Linked DNA regions of Arabidopsis thaliana. The protein of the gene in region 3 interacts with the protein of the main gene of each other region in a pairwise test. Each region holds a gene or a part of one and is shown on either strand. Other genes may lie near its edges.

Region 1 (3,758 bases), about 19 Mb from region 3:
AAAAATAGAGGAAATGGCTTCACATGAATTTTGAGATTCAAAGTTCAAACATCTACTGAAAATGTAAAGAGGAAGGATCAAGTAAGAGGAGATACCTTGTCAAGATTCATAGAGGTTAGCTCCTGTCCAGACATTCCCTTGTGCTTTATAATCCGAGGAATAGACGTGTAGTAAAACCTATTCCCTTTAGGTTGCTCAGTAGATGATGTCGTAAACTTGCTTTTTTTCATCTGCGTATCAAGTGCTATTTCCATTGCCGTTTTAGGTCCACCTTTTAGAATAGCAGATTCATATGTGACTGTTATTTCTCCTCCAACTGGCTCTGCAAAATTGAACATAAAATTTTTGAACAAGCCAAACTTTACAGTGTTCACTACTCGAGTGAGGGAAAACATTAACAATGTGGTTAAAGAATCCTCCAAATTATAAGGTTCACATACCAAACTTTTCAACAACATCCTTTGTAATGTAGTTAGATAAGTGCCTCCACTCCCCATATTGCTTTAAATTGTATGGGCCAAGATTTTTGTCAAACTCTAAAGACCTGACTGCTTGAGAATATCTCTCTTCCTAGCAACAAAAGAGCAGAATAAATATAAATAAGCCAGCACTAATTCTCAAGCCTACTAACTAATGGCTCATGCAACATGATTTGATTATATTCCTATCTAGCAGGCATTGAACAAATATCACAAAGAGGCAAATCGCTGACCAACATATACGCAACATTGAGAAAATTACTGCACTAGGTTATTAAAAGGACATACCTCTTCTTCAGACACTTTGGTTAACCACTCGTCTTGCTGATTCCATTTGCGTACAATAACCTTGTATATTCAACAAAAGATAGTAAATATATATCTACTTACAATATATACAGTTTCATGGTGCTACTAACAGGATATCACAGAGAGACAAGAACATTACTAAATGTTTTCTCTGTAATAGCGATCTATATAGATAACTACAAACACAAACTATTCAAAGTTGTGATTCCAAACCTGAGAAGGGGCAACATCAACAAAGAAGCCAATGGTGGGTGAAAACTCTCTACCATCCCTGAAGATAAGAAAATGAAAGTCTGCATTATCAGCCAAAGCATATCGATAACCATGGTACGGTTTTTAATGAGTACGACATCACAAATTTAAAAAACCATTTAAAGACTTAAACCTTGTCGATGAACTATAGAATACAAAGTGAATTCCAGGAGGTATCATCTTAATCCCTTTGAAAGCTGGTCCAACTGCGAATATCTGTAACCACAATACAAAACATTGTCGTTATAGGCCAATGAATATGCTCAAGAAATATGTTTCACAATCATACAGAAATCAAAATCCATAGCCAATAAAGAATCTTCAAAAGCTCAAAAACCTCAAATTTTAATCATATTCAAACTCAAAATACACTTTCTTCTCGAGATATTTACTAAACCAAAAAGAAACTATACAAGGAGAATCAGTTCCACATTAAAAAGCTTTAAACTTGGAATAAAGTAACAAACTTTGAAACTGAGAAAAGTTGAAATTCGATAAAAGCTTTAAACTTAGAAGTAGACAAACCTGAGTATCGATTCCGACCAGTGTATATTGAGGAACATCGAGAAATAGAAGTGTAGCTCCATGCTTCACAAGCTCTAGTGCCTTCTCAGAATCCATAGCTTCCTTCTTCTTCGTCTTCACTAATTTAGCGTCGAATTCAATAAAGAACAGCAAAATACAGAGCGGAACAACGAGTAGATTCCAGAAGGCCCAATTTAACAGGCCCATTAACAAACTGGGCCTATAAACCGTGGCCCAAAACACGTGACAACGCGCGATTCACGCGGTTTACTTTATCAACCGACATAAACGTTTATTTATAGAGAAACCTATCTTCGCGTCTCTTCAGATTCGTTTTATTTTTCAATCGTTTCAATTTCTAAAATTCTCCTCTCTCAACGCAATCACCAAATCCAAATTTAGGGTTTCTTTTCTCTTTCTGCGATCGATCTCTGAAAACTCATAACTGTTGTTTAATCGTGAAGATGGCATCAAACGGATCTTTCTCTGCTCAGAGAAACGCAAACGCTAGAACAACGATGAAGAGAAGAAGCGACAATCGCGGTTACGGTGGCGGAATCGGAGGTTATCAAGAGGAGACGAACCGTTACGCGCCGCCGCAAAAACGTTTCAGATCACAAGCGCAACAGCAATTCCGATCTGGTCATAATCCTCTGTATCATCATCATGGTAGTAATAATAATAACGTGTCTAGGGTTTCTTCTCAATCATATAACAATTGCGGTGTTGATGTGATTGCTTCTAATTCAAGTTTTGCATTACGTAACAATGATTCTAACACCAACAATTATCAGAAACCCTTTGTTGCTGGTTATGGAAACCCTAATCCCCAAATTGTTCCTCTTCCATTACCTTATCGTAAGCTTGATGACAATCTCTCTTTAGATTCGTTACCTGATTGGGTTCCGAATTCAAGAACCCTAACTCCGAATTATCCTGTTAGGTCATCGAATTTTGTACCAAACACTCCTGTTTTTACGAATGTTCAAAATCCGATGAATCATTCGAACATGGTTTCAGTTGTGTCTCAATCTATGCATCAACCAATTGTTTTGAGCAAAGAATTGACTGATTTGCTTAGTCTTCTTAACAATGAGAAAGAGAAGAAAACTTTAGAAGCAAGTAATAGTGATTCTTTGCCTGTTGGATTAAGCTTTGATAATCCATCGTCACTTAATGTTCGACATGAATCTGTGATTAAGTCTCTGTATTCTGATATGCCGAGACAATGTTCATCGTGTGGGTTGAGATTCAAGTGTCAAGAAGAGCATAGTAAACACATGGATTGGCATGTAAGGAAGAACAGGTCGGTGAAAACCACTACAAGACTGGGTCAGCAACCGAAGAAATCGAGGGGATGGTTAGCAAGTGCATCTTTATGGCTTTGTGCAGCGACGGGAGGAGAGACGGTAGAAGTAGCATCTTTTGGAGGAGAAATGCAGAAGAAGAAAGGAAAGGACGAAGAACCAAAACAACTCATGGTGCCTGCGGATGAAGATCAGAAGAATTGCGCATTATGCGTAGAGCCGTTTGAAGAGTTCTTTAGCCATGAAGATGATGATTGGATGTATAAAGATGCAGTCTACTTAACCAAGAATGGTCGTATAGTTCATGTTAAGTGTATGCCTGAACCCCGACCTGCTAAGGATTTGAGAGAGCCTTCGAGGGTAATGTCTGTTACAGTTCCATCGGTTGCGAAAGCTATAGCCTGCTGATTGAGATTTTTAAGATCTCTGTTTTAGTCATTCGTTTTTTTAAGTAATGTACTTTACTTGAACAAGTTGTAACACAAATACAGTTCTATCAATTGAATCTCCTATTTTACTCTTATCGCCTCTTTACTCTTATGTGTCATTTAATGAATATTCATGCTTCTATATCTCTGTTTTAATCGTCGTTTAGTGTTGAAAAATCATCAAAAAAGTTGTAACTATATTAATCAGAAAAGATTAACGAAATGCTTTAGTTTACACTTAATAACAGAGACAAACGTGAAGCTCGTCTTCTTTTGATTCTCCTTAGGGTTTCTTACTTCGAGAAGAAGACAGAGTAATTCTCACAAACTTGTTTTGCTAATAAACGTTATAAAGCTTTTCAAAATCCTTTTTCAACCCTAATAGTTGATGAGAAATCGAAAAACAAACGAAGAACAATGATAATTCTGTTATTTCACATAAAGTCTCAAATGACAAA
Region 2 (3,758 bases), 3.7 Mb from region 3:
TTTCTTTGTTATAAATAAAATCATTTATATTTTATAACATCAATTAAATACTTTATATGTTTATTTTTTTTTTTTTTTTTACTTTTAAAATTCATAAAATTAAATTATCTATATAACAAGCTCTATTATATATATGTTTAAATTATATACGAATATTATTTAATTGGTGTTAGTTAAGCATTAAACATAATAATAACTTATAAATACAATAGTTTTTTTTTAATTAGAAAACAAACATTTAAAATTTTCTATTTTTATTTTACAACATTTTTGGCAATCGAATTCGACTTCGTGATAGAGATATGCACCAACAACTAAAAGATGACCTAGTTGAGCATATATGACAAAAGTTTGGTGCATTATCAAATGAAGAGTAAAACCATAATAGATAATATAGTTAGTTTTGATTTATGTTATCATGGTTTTATATGTAATTTCTGTGTAATTTATATATTTTTTCTATTTAATTTATGTTATCATGGTTTTATATGGAATTTTATGTTTAATTGATATATTTTTTATTATGATTTTATATGTAAAGTAATGTTTAATTATGTTTAATTATGTTTAATTATGGTTTTAAAAATAATAAAACTATTTAATAATATAATTGTAAAAATAATAATTGATATGTTTGAAAATATTGTAGAGATTTTAAATTTAATATAAAAAACATATAATAATATGTTAATGTTAATGAGATACTCATAAGAGTATTTCACCAATGGAAGCACAATTTTAGTATAAGTTTCTCTACTTAAATTAAAATATTAATAATATATTATGAGGTACTCATGGAGTATCTCACCAATGGAGATGCTCTTACGCATATGCTGACGAGAGACGAGAGAAGAGACGTTCGCTAAATCTTTTGCTTTCTCGCCACTACGTCCAGAGTCTCTCTCTGGTTCAGAAGACTCGAAATGGGTTAAACACGTATTCTCTCATTCTCCGTAGTTAATTAATTTAGTGAAACGGTAAAAACAAAATGGTAAAAAATTGGCGGTCGTTATTTTGTAGCGGTAAAGAAAATAGTGAGTTAGACTATTTACAAGTTAACTGTTTGAATTAAAAGTTGAAAGTGATTTGGAAAAAGATGTTGTAGAATTTCTTCAACACCGTTAATTTTGTGAATAAAATCCTTGTACACATATAGTCTTAGAAAATTTGGAAAAAGGTTTGATAAATGTAACTTAGATGCTGCTTGGATTATAAAAAGTAAGCTTTATGGATACGGACTTGAGTTCCCAAGATCATTTAGGTTCAATCTGATTTTGAGGTTTATATAAGAAGCTTCATTTAAACCGTTGAGTGTTTGAGCTATATGAAACTTCAAAAAAATGTCATTCGTTTAAATACCATCAAGAAGAATGTGAATCAACTTTTCTTTTTGGATGAAAACTAGTTTTTTGATATGGTAACTATGTTTTCAACACAACAAAATTTTATCGTCGAATGTCCGAAATGATAAAGACACTCTTAACCTTCATCGGAAAAAATAGCAATTTTTTGTGGTATATCAATAGCGGTTACAATCTAACTTGTTTTGTTGTTGTTATTATGATTAGAACTGTCAATTGGGTGGACCGCATGTGGGTTTTTACAGTCCAAATACACACGGACGGATTATGGTCTGGACTCCAAACTAAAAAACATAAACCAAGCAATCAAAAAGTTAGAATAAGATATTTTTTAGTTAAAACAAAAATCGTAAGTGAAGAAGGTCTGAATTTCTTGAGGAAGATAAACGGGCACAAAACCGGTGTACATACATGGATTATGGATATGTTCTAGAGGAAAGGTATAATTGAATACTAGTATCCGTTACAGAAACTAATTGCATTAAGTTTCGTCTACTGTTTAAGACCGCACGAGATATATATGTTAGACCGACTTTGGGAAAGAGGCTACTTAAATTATTTACGATTAATAATGCCAACGTAACGCGGACAGACATTTTAATTCAATTATTATTTGTTGCCTGCGAGATTCGAACCATCTCTTATTTCATTACTTAACCCAAACCAAAAAAATAAAAAGTTCATTTCGAAAGAAGAAGAAGAAAACATCAAATCATGAGTGGGCAAGAGAATCATGATCATGGCCGGATCTCTTCTACGCCCGCCGCCGCGTCGGAGCCTTCCAAGGCTGCTGCTCACTCCTCTGACTACGCTCCTTACCCTAAGCTCGATCCTACCGACGTCACTCCTCCTCCTCCTCAGCCTATTCCCACCGGTGCCGCCGCAACCACCATGCCAGCGGAATCCAATCCTTACGTTTCTCCTTCCCCTGCCCCAAGGAGTGAGTTCTTCTTCTCTCTATCCGATTTCGCATCCTAATCCAATTTCTGCCTTTGATTGATTGATTGATCTTGGTTTGGGGACAGATACGATGGATTCGGTGAAGGATACGTTAGGGAAATGGGGGAAAATGGCTGCCGACGCCACCAAGAAGGCGGAGGATCTCGCCGGAAATTTTTGGCAGCACTGTAAGCGCTTCTTCTTCTTCTTCTTCTTCCCCCTCGATTAGATGAATTACCAATTAATCTGATTACCGTCTCTTGGAGAATACGATGGTATTGGTTATGCCCCTTCTGGTTAAGTTAGTGTTCATCAATTGGCGCTTCTTCGGAATTTTACTTCGCGTTCAACCACCGACACTAAATCTAGCCAACAATTTTGATATTCATGCTCTTCCGTTTGAGTTTAAGCCAATTAGTTCTTTGTATCTGGTTATTGCCTTTGACTCTTGAAGCTTCTCTAGTATAGGTTGTTTTGGCTTTATTTCTCCGCTTGTGTGATGAATTAGTATTATATACATATGGTTGGAGGGAGGGATGATATTTTATATGAATTGAGACTTGAGAGTATACGTTTTGATATCTATCCTTTCTTTTTCAGTGAAAACAGGCCCAAGTGTAGCAGATGCTGCTGTTTCACGAATTGCTCAGGGGACAAAAATACTTGCAGAGGGTGGATACGAGAAGGTCTTCAAGCAAACATTTGATTGCCTTCCTGATGAAAAACTTCTCAAGACCTATGCTTGCTACTTGTCTACATCTGCTGGTCCTGTCCTGGGAGTTATGTATCTTTCGACTCACAAGCTTGCGTTCTCTAGTGACAATCCTCTCTCTTACAAAGAGGGTGAGCAGACCCTGTGGAGCTATTACAAGGTATACTCGCTCTCTATCCTATGGTTACTTTTTCTTTCTAACTCTTTTATTTTATATCTATTTACATCTAAGAAAACTATTTGAGAACAAAGATTCAGCGAATGTAATATTTGATGGTGACATGATAAAGCGTTAAGTGAGTTAAGTCATTTTCAATGCATCTATTTACATAGATTCATAGACTATAACAAATTTTCTTGTCATTTCTAGTTATTGACGTATAGAACGTAGTGTGTGTACGCTTATAGTAAATGGAAACTACATAATCATTCTAACGATATTGTTGAGTAGTTGCATGTTAGTTCCTATGTAGACAATTAGGACTTTAGTGGTTTGCCTAAGAGAGTAAGCTAAATCTTGTAGCATTCTTGATAAAACTAGGGGAGCCATTGAATAATTGTTAGTTTGAGAGTTTGGACTGGTTCTAATGTAAACATCTAACATGAGCTGAAATCCTATTAAACCAAGCAGAAAGCTTCTTGACAACATGATCTTTGGAAAACTGATTTTAAGATTTGGGTGGTTCTTGAGAACCTTTTTTCGTTCCTTGAGAACCTTGCACTTGCAGTCTATTTTCTGTCATTCT
Region 3 (3,758 bases):
ATTGCCAACATTTCTCTGGATGGGTGAAATAAGCATAATTACTAATTTAGAACAAAGATATTTAATATACGATAAAAAAAACTACTACCTATGTTCCTAAATCCTAACAGAACGATGTTTTAGTTTTTTCGCACATGAATAAGTAATCTTACTTTTTTGCTAAGTTTTTGTAAATTTAATAATATTAATTATGTTTTTCTCTTTCTATATTGATAACATATGAAAGTAATAATGATGTTGAAACAAAACATTAATCAATTATGAAACAAAAAATTCCAAAATATCAATCTATTAGACTAAGAGGCAATACTTAATAGGGGACAAAAATCTGGTCTTAAAGTGTGCTACAAAATTTTCATGCACACGAATAAAAAAAATTGTATTACCAAATTAAAATGTAAACCCATGCATACTTTACGTACATACAGTATATTTTTTTTGCTAAGAATGTAAATATTTCATTAAAAATGAAAACAATTTAGGTTTACAATCCAAAGATTATACTCCTAAAGAAATGGTCCCATGACAAAAAAAGCAAAAAACATGGAAGCATAGATCTTAGAAACATTTTCAGTCCATCCACTCAAACATAAGCACAAATGCTAATGGAGTAAGACGAAGTGATGACGATTTTGAAGTTCTTCCCGGCTCTGATGCTTGAGACGAAGGGCGAATGCAAATTGAAGAGCCGAATTACCAAGATACAAGACACTAGAAGCCTTTCACAGGAGGTCCGAGACTGTGCCGTCAACGGCCCGTCAAAGGATTCCATGAGCTCTCACAGAACGAAACCCCACAAACCAAAGAATGTGAACAATGTGAGCTCACCCTACCAAGTTCCTTCCCGAAGTCGCATAGTACAGAGCTAGATTTTTGAGAGCTAGATTTTTCAACTCAACGCCACACTGAACACCAATAGTCTTACTAACTCCTCTAGTGCCTAGTGAAAAAGCAACCATAGCAAAACGCATTGCAACGCAAGAACTACGACTCTAGGCAACATCAATGGCAAGACACAACAAAACCAGGGCTTATTAGCAAATACAGTATACTATGTATTCGCCCTATATAACAAATATATTAGTTAGGATTCAAACTATAATAAATTACCTATACTATGTATAATAACTATAACATTCAAATGAAATTTCTTCATCTACGTCATTTAAATTAATTTAGATATGATGTTCATTTCCATAATTATCTATTAACGTTGAGTATAAAGTATTAGGCTCATATCTCTAAAGTTATCATTGTATCGACTTTAGAGCTAGAAACTTAAATTGATTTGATTTTGGAAATTGATGAATTAATTAATATCTTATATTACATGTCTATTTCATTGAAATATATCTTCTTATGATTAATTTCTTATTTTACATGTATCTTTATAAGTGTTAAAAGTGAATTCACGAATAAAAGCTATATAATGCTTACTAAAGTGTATATATACAAGCATTATTAGTTTAGTACATGTGGTACGAAAAATGGAGAGTAATTCATGATGTTTCCAAAGAACCTAGGCCAAAATAGATTTCAATCCCGCCAAAGATCTATCAGACTTCAAATTCGAATACACCAACTCTCTTGAACCTAACTTAACGGCTTAACGTTTTATGTACTTAGGAAATTAGTGAAGGAAAAAAAAAAAGAGAGAAATATTAGAAATCGAAAAGATATTGTATGTACCGTAATCGGTCCAACTTACTTTTAATGGGCCAAAAATCTAGGCCCGTAATATTTTTAATATAAGTTTAGTAGAATCCACGTGGACAGTAGAACCGCGGAAAATATTCGTTTCCTGAAGACGGACCGGTTGCTTTGAGTTTCCCCGTTCGACAATAGGGTATCACCGACCACCGTGTTTCGGGCAGACTCGTCGGAGGAGTGTTAAAATTGTTGAATCTCAGATTAGGGTTTACTTCTATGGTAAACTTCTGAAGGTCTGTCTGTTTTCCTGATCTGAGGTCCTTCTAGGGATTTTTTTTTATGGCGTTGAAGCAGCAGAAGCTTTAGCTAGACTTGTCGGAAGATTGTGACACTTATTGAATCTCAGATTAGGGTCTACTTATATTACCATTGAGTGGAATATTTGAAAGACTGTTCTTCCGAAGGTGAAATTCATGGCTGATAAGTACATCGTCGAGGAAGCAGAGGCTTTGGCCAAGAGAGCTTTGGTACAATTCTTTCCCCAGCTATATACTTGTCTGACTTCTCGTACTCTTTCATAAAGTTTAGATTTTTACTTGTTGGGTTTCGTAAAATTGTGTCCTTTCCTCAGCATTCACCAATTGCACAGGCGACGCCGATCTACGAGCAGCTTTTGTCACTTTATCCCACTTCTGTAAGTTTCCCATGACTTTGCTTCCACGTATTTTAAGAGTTTCCTGATGTTTTTGGTTAATTGTGAGCTCCTTTGTACTCTGTAGGCGAGATTTTGGAAGCAATATGTGGAGGCACAGATGGCTGTAAACAATGATGATGCTACCAAACAGATATTTAGTCGTTGTTTGTTGACCTGCCTTCAAGTTCCTCTTTGGTAATGCCATGTTACCCTTTATTAGTCGTTGATAAGAGTCAATTTAACATCTTTTCGTCTCATTGTTGGGTTTCTTGCTCAGCTGCAATGCAAGTCTTGCCATCTCCTTGGATATAATTCTAACATCTTATTCTCTCAGGCAATGTTACATTCGGTTCATCAGAAAGGTCTACGACAAGAAGGGAGCAGAGGGTCAAGAGGAGACCACAAAGGCTTTTGAGTTTATGCTTAACTATATTGGTATTGCTTCTCTTCCGCAGTTTTGGCTCTATTTTGTTTGTTTTTCATTTCAATCATGTCTCATACATAGAGGGAATTTTTTCCGTTTTGTGAGTAATGAATACAGTTATGTTTAGTAAACAATATGATTTGATCAATTTTATGCTTAATATAGTTGCTAATGATAACTATTCATCAGCAATAGCAAGCACATAGTTACGCTTCGTGTCTATGTAGACCTCTAGTTTCCCTTTATCATGCCAACACATAACACAACTTGGGCCTTACAGATGGTTGTTTATTTCGATTTATGAATCTCCAGGGACAGACATCGCATCAGGGCCTATATGGACTGAGTACATTGCCTTTCTAAAATCTCTTCCGGTTCGTTATATCACTCTAACTTTGTCCTTGATACTAATAATTTGTTATTGCAGAGAAACTAATAGATTCCCATGCAGGCTCTTAACCTCAACGAAGATTTGCATCGGAAGACTGCTCTTCGAAAAGTGTATCATAGAGCTATATTAACTCCGACCCACCACGTTGAACAACTTTGGAAAGATTATGAAAACTTCGAAAATACTGTTAACCGTCAATTGGTAAACTTCTAAGAAATTAAAATTATGTGGCTTCTTATTTTCATGAAAAGAAGCAGGTACGAACTTCATTCTCTTGGCTTTGTTGATGGATAATCTAATCTAATCATGTGAGCAGGCAAAAGGACTTGTAAATGAGTATCAACCAAAATTTAACAGTGCCAGGGCTGTATATAGGGAGCGCAAGAAGTACATTGAAGAAATTGATTGGAACATGCTTGCTGTCCCACCAACAGGAACTTCCAAGGTAAAGAATTTATCATCCATTGCTTCTTTTTGGAACTGCTGAGTGCTGAATGTACAATTATTTTCTTATCTTTTTGAGTTCGATAAGATTGGATATATTGACTCTTAAACTGCCTAAAAGACATTATGAGCATAATTCACGTCATGAGATCATG

The links.
Region 1: the proteins of CSTF77 (region 3) and AT1G66500 interact in a two-hybrid assay, tested with the Arabidopsis thaliana proteins (one study listed by BioGRID).
Region 2: the proteins of CSTF77 (region 3) and FIP1 interact in a two-hybrid assay, tested with the Arabidopsis thaliana proteins (one study listed by BioGRID).

What each region holds. Positions count from the first base shown.
Region 1 is NC_003070.9:24,810,784-24,814,541, reverse strand, and holds AT1G66500 (Pre-mRNA cleavage complex II), read left to right. Parts: upstream 1-1,880; 5' UTR 1,881-2,029; coding exon 2,030-3,280; 3' UTR 3,281-3,462; downstream 3,463-3,758. Other genes in the region: AT1G66510 (AAR2 protein family), read right to left, coding at 96-322, 441-570, 768-827, 1,002-1,059, 1,174-1,256, 1,566-1,661.
Region 2 is NC_003070.9:9,850,618-9,854,375, reverse strand, and holds the start of FIP1 (FH interacting protein 1), read left to right. Parts: upstream 1-1,926; 5' UTR 1,927-2,075; coding exon 2,076-2,301; intron 2,302-2,386; coding exon 2,387-2,488; intron 2,489-2,900; coding exon 2,901-3,172; intron 3,173-3,758.
Region 3 is NC_003070.9:6,114,637-6,118,394, reverse strand, and holds the start of CSTF77 (Tetratricopeptide repeat (TPR)-like superfamily protein), read left to right. Parts: upstream 1-1,777; 5' UTR 1,778-2,123; coding exon 2,124-2,177; intron 2,178-2,281; coding exon 2,282-2,344; intron 2,345-2,429; coding exon 2,430-2,539; intron 2,540-2,678; coding exon 2,679-2,779; intron 2,780-3,080; coding exon 3,081-3,142; intron 3,143-3,219; coding exon 3,220-3,360; intron 3,361-3,475; coding exon 3,476-3,604; intron 3,605-3,758. UniProt on the Arabidopsis thaliana protein: One of the multiple factors required for polyadenylation and 3'-end cleavage of pre-mRNAs. Required for the targeted 3' processing of antisense transcripts that triggers transcriptional silencing of the corresponding sense gene.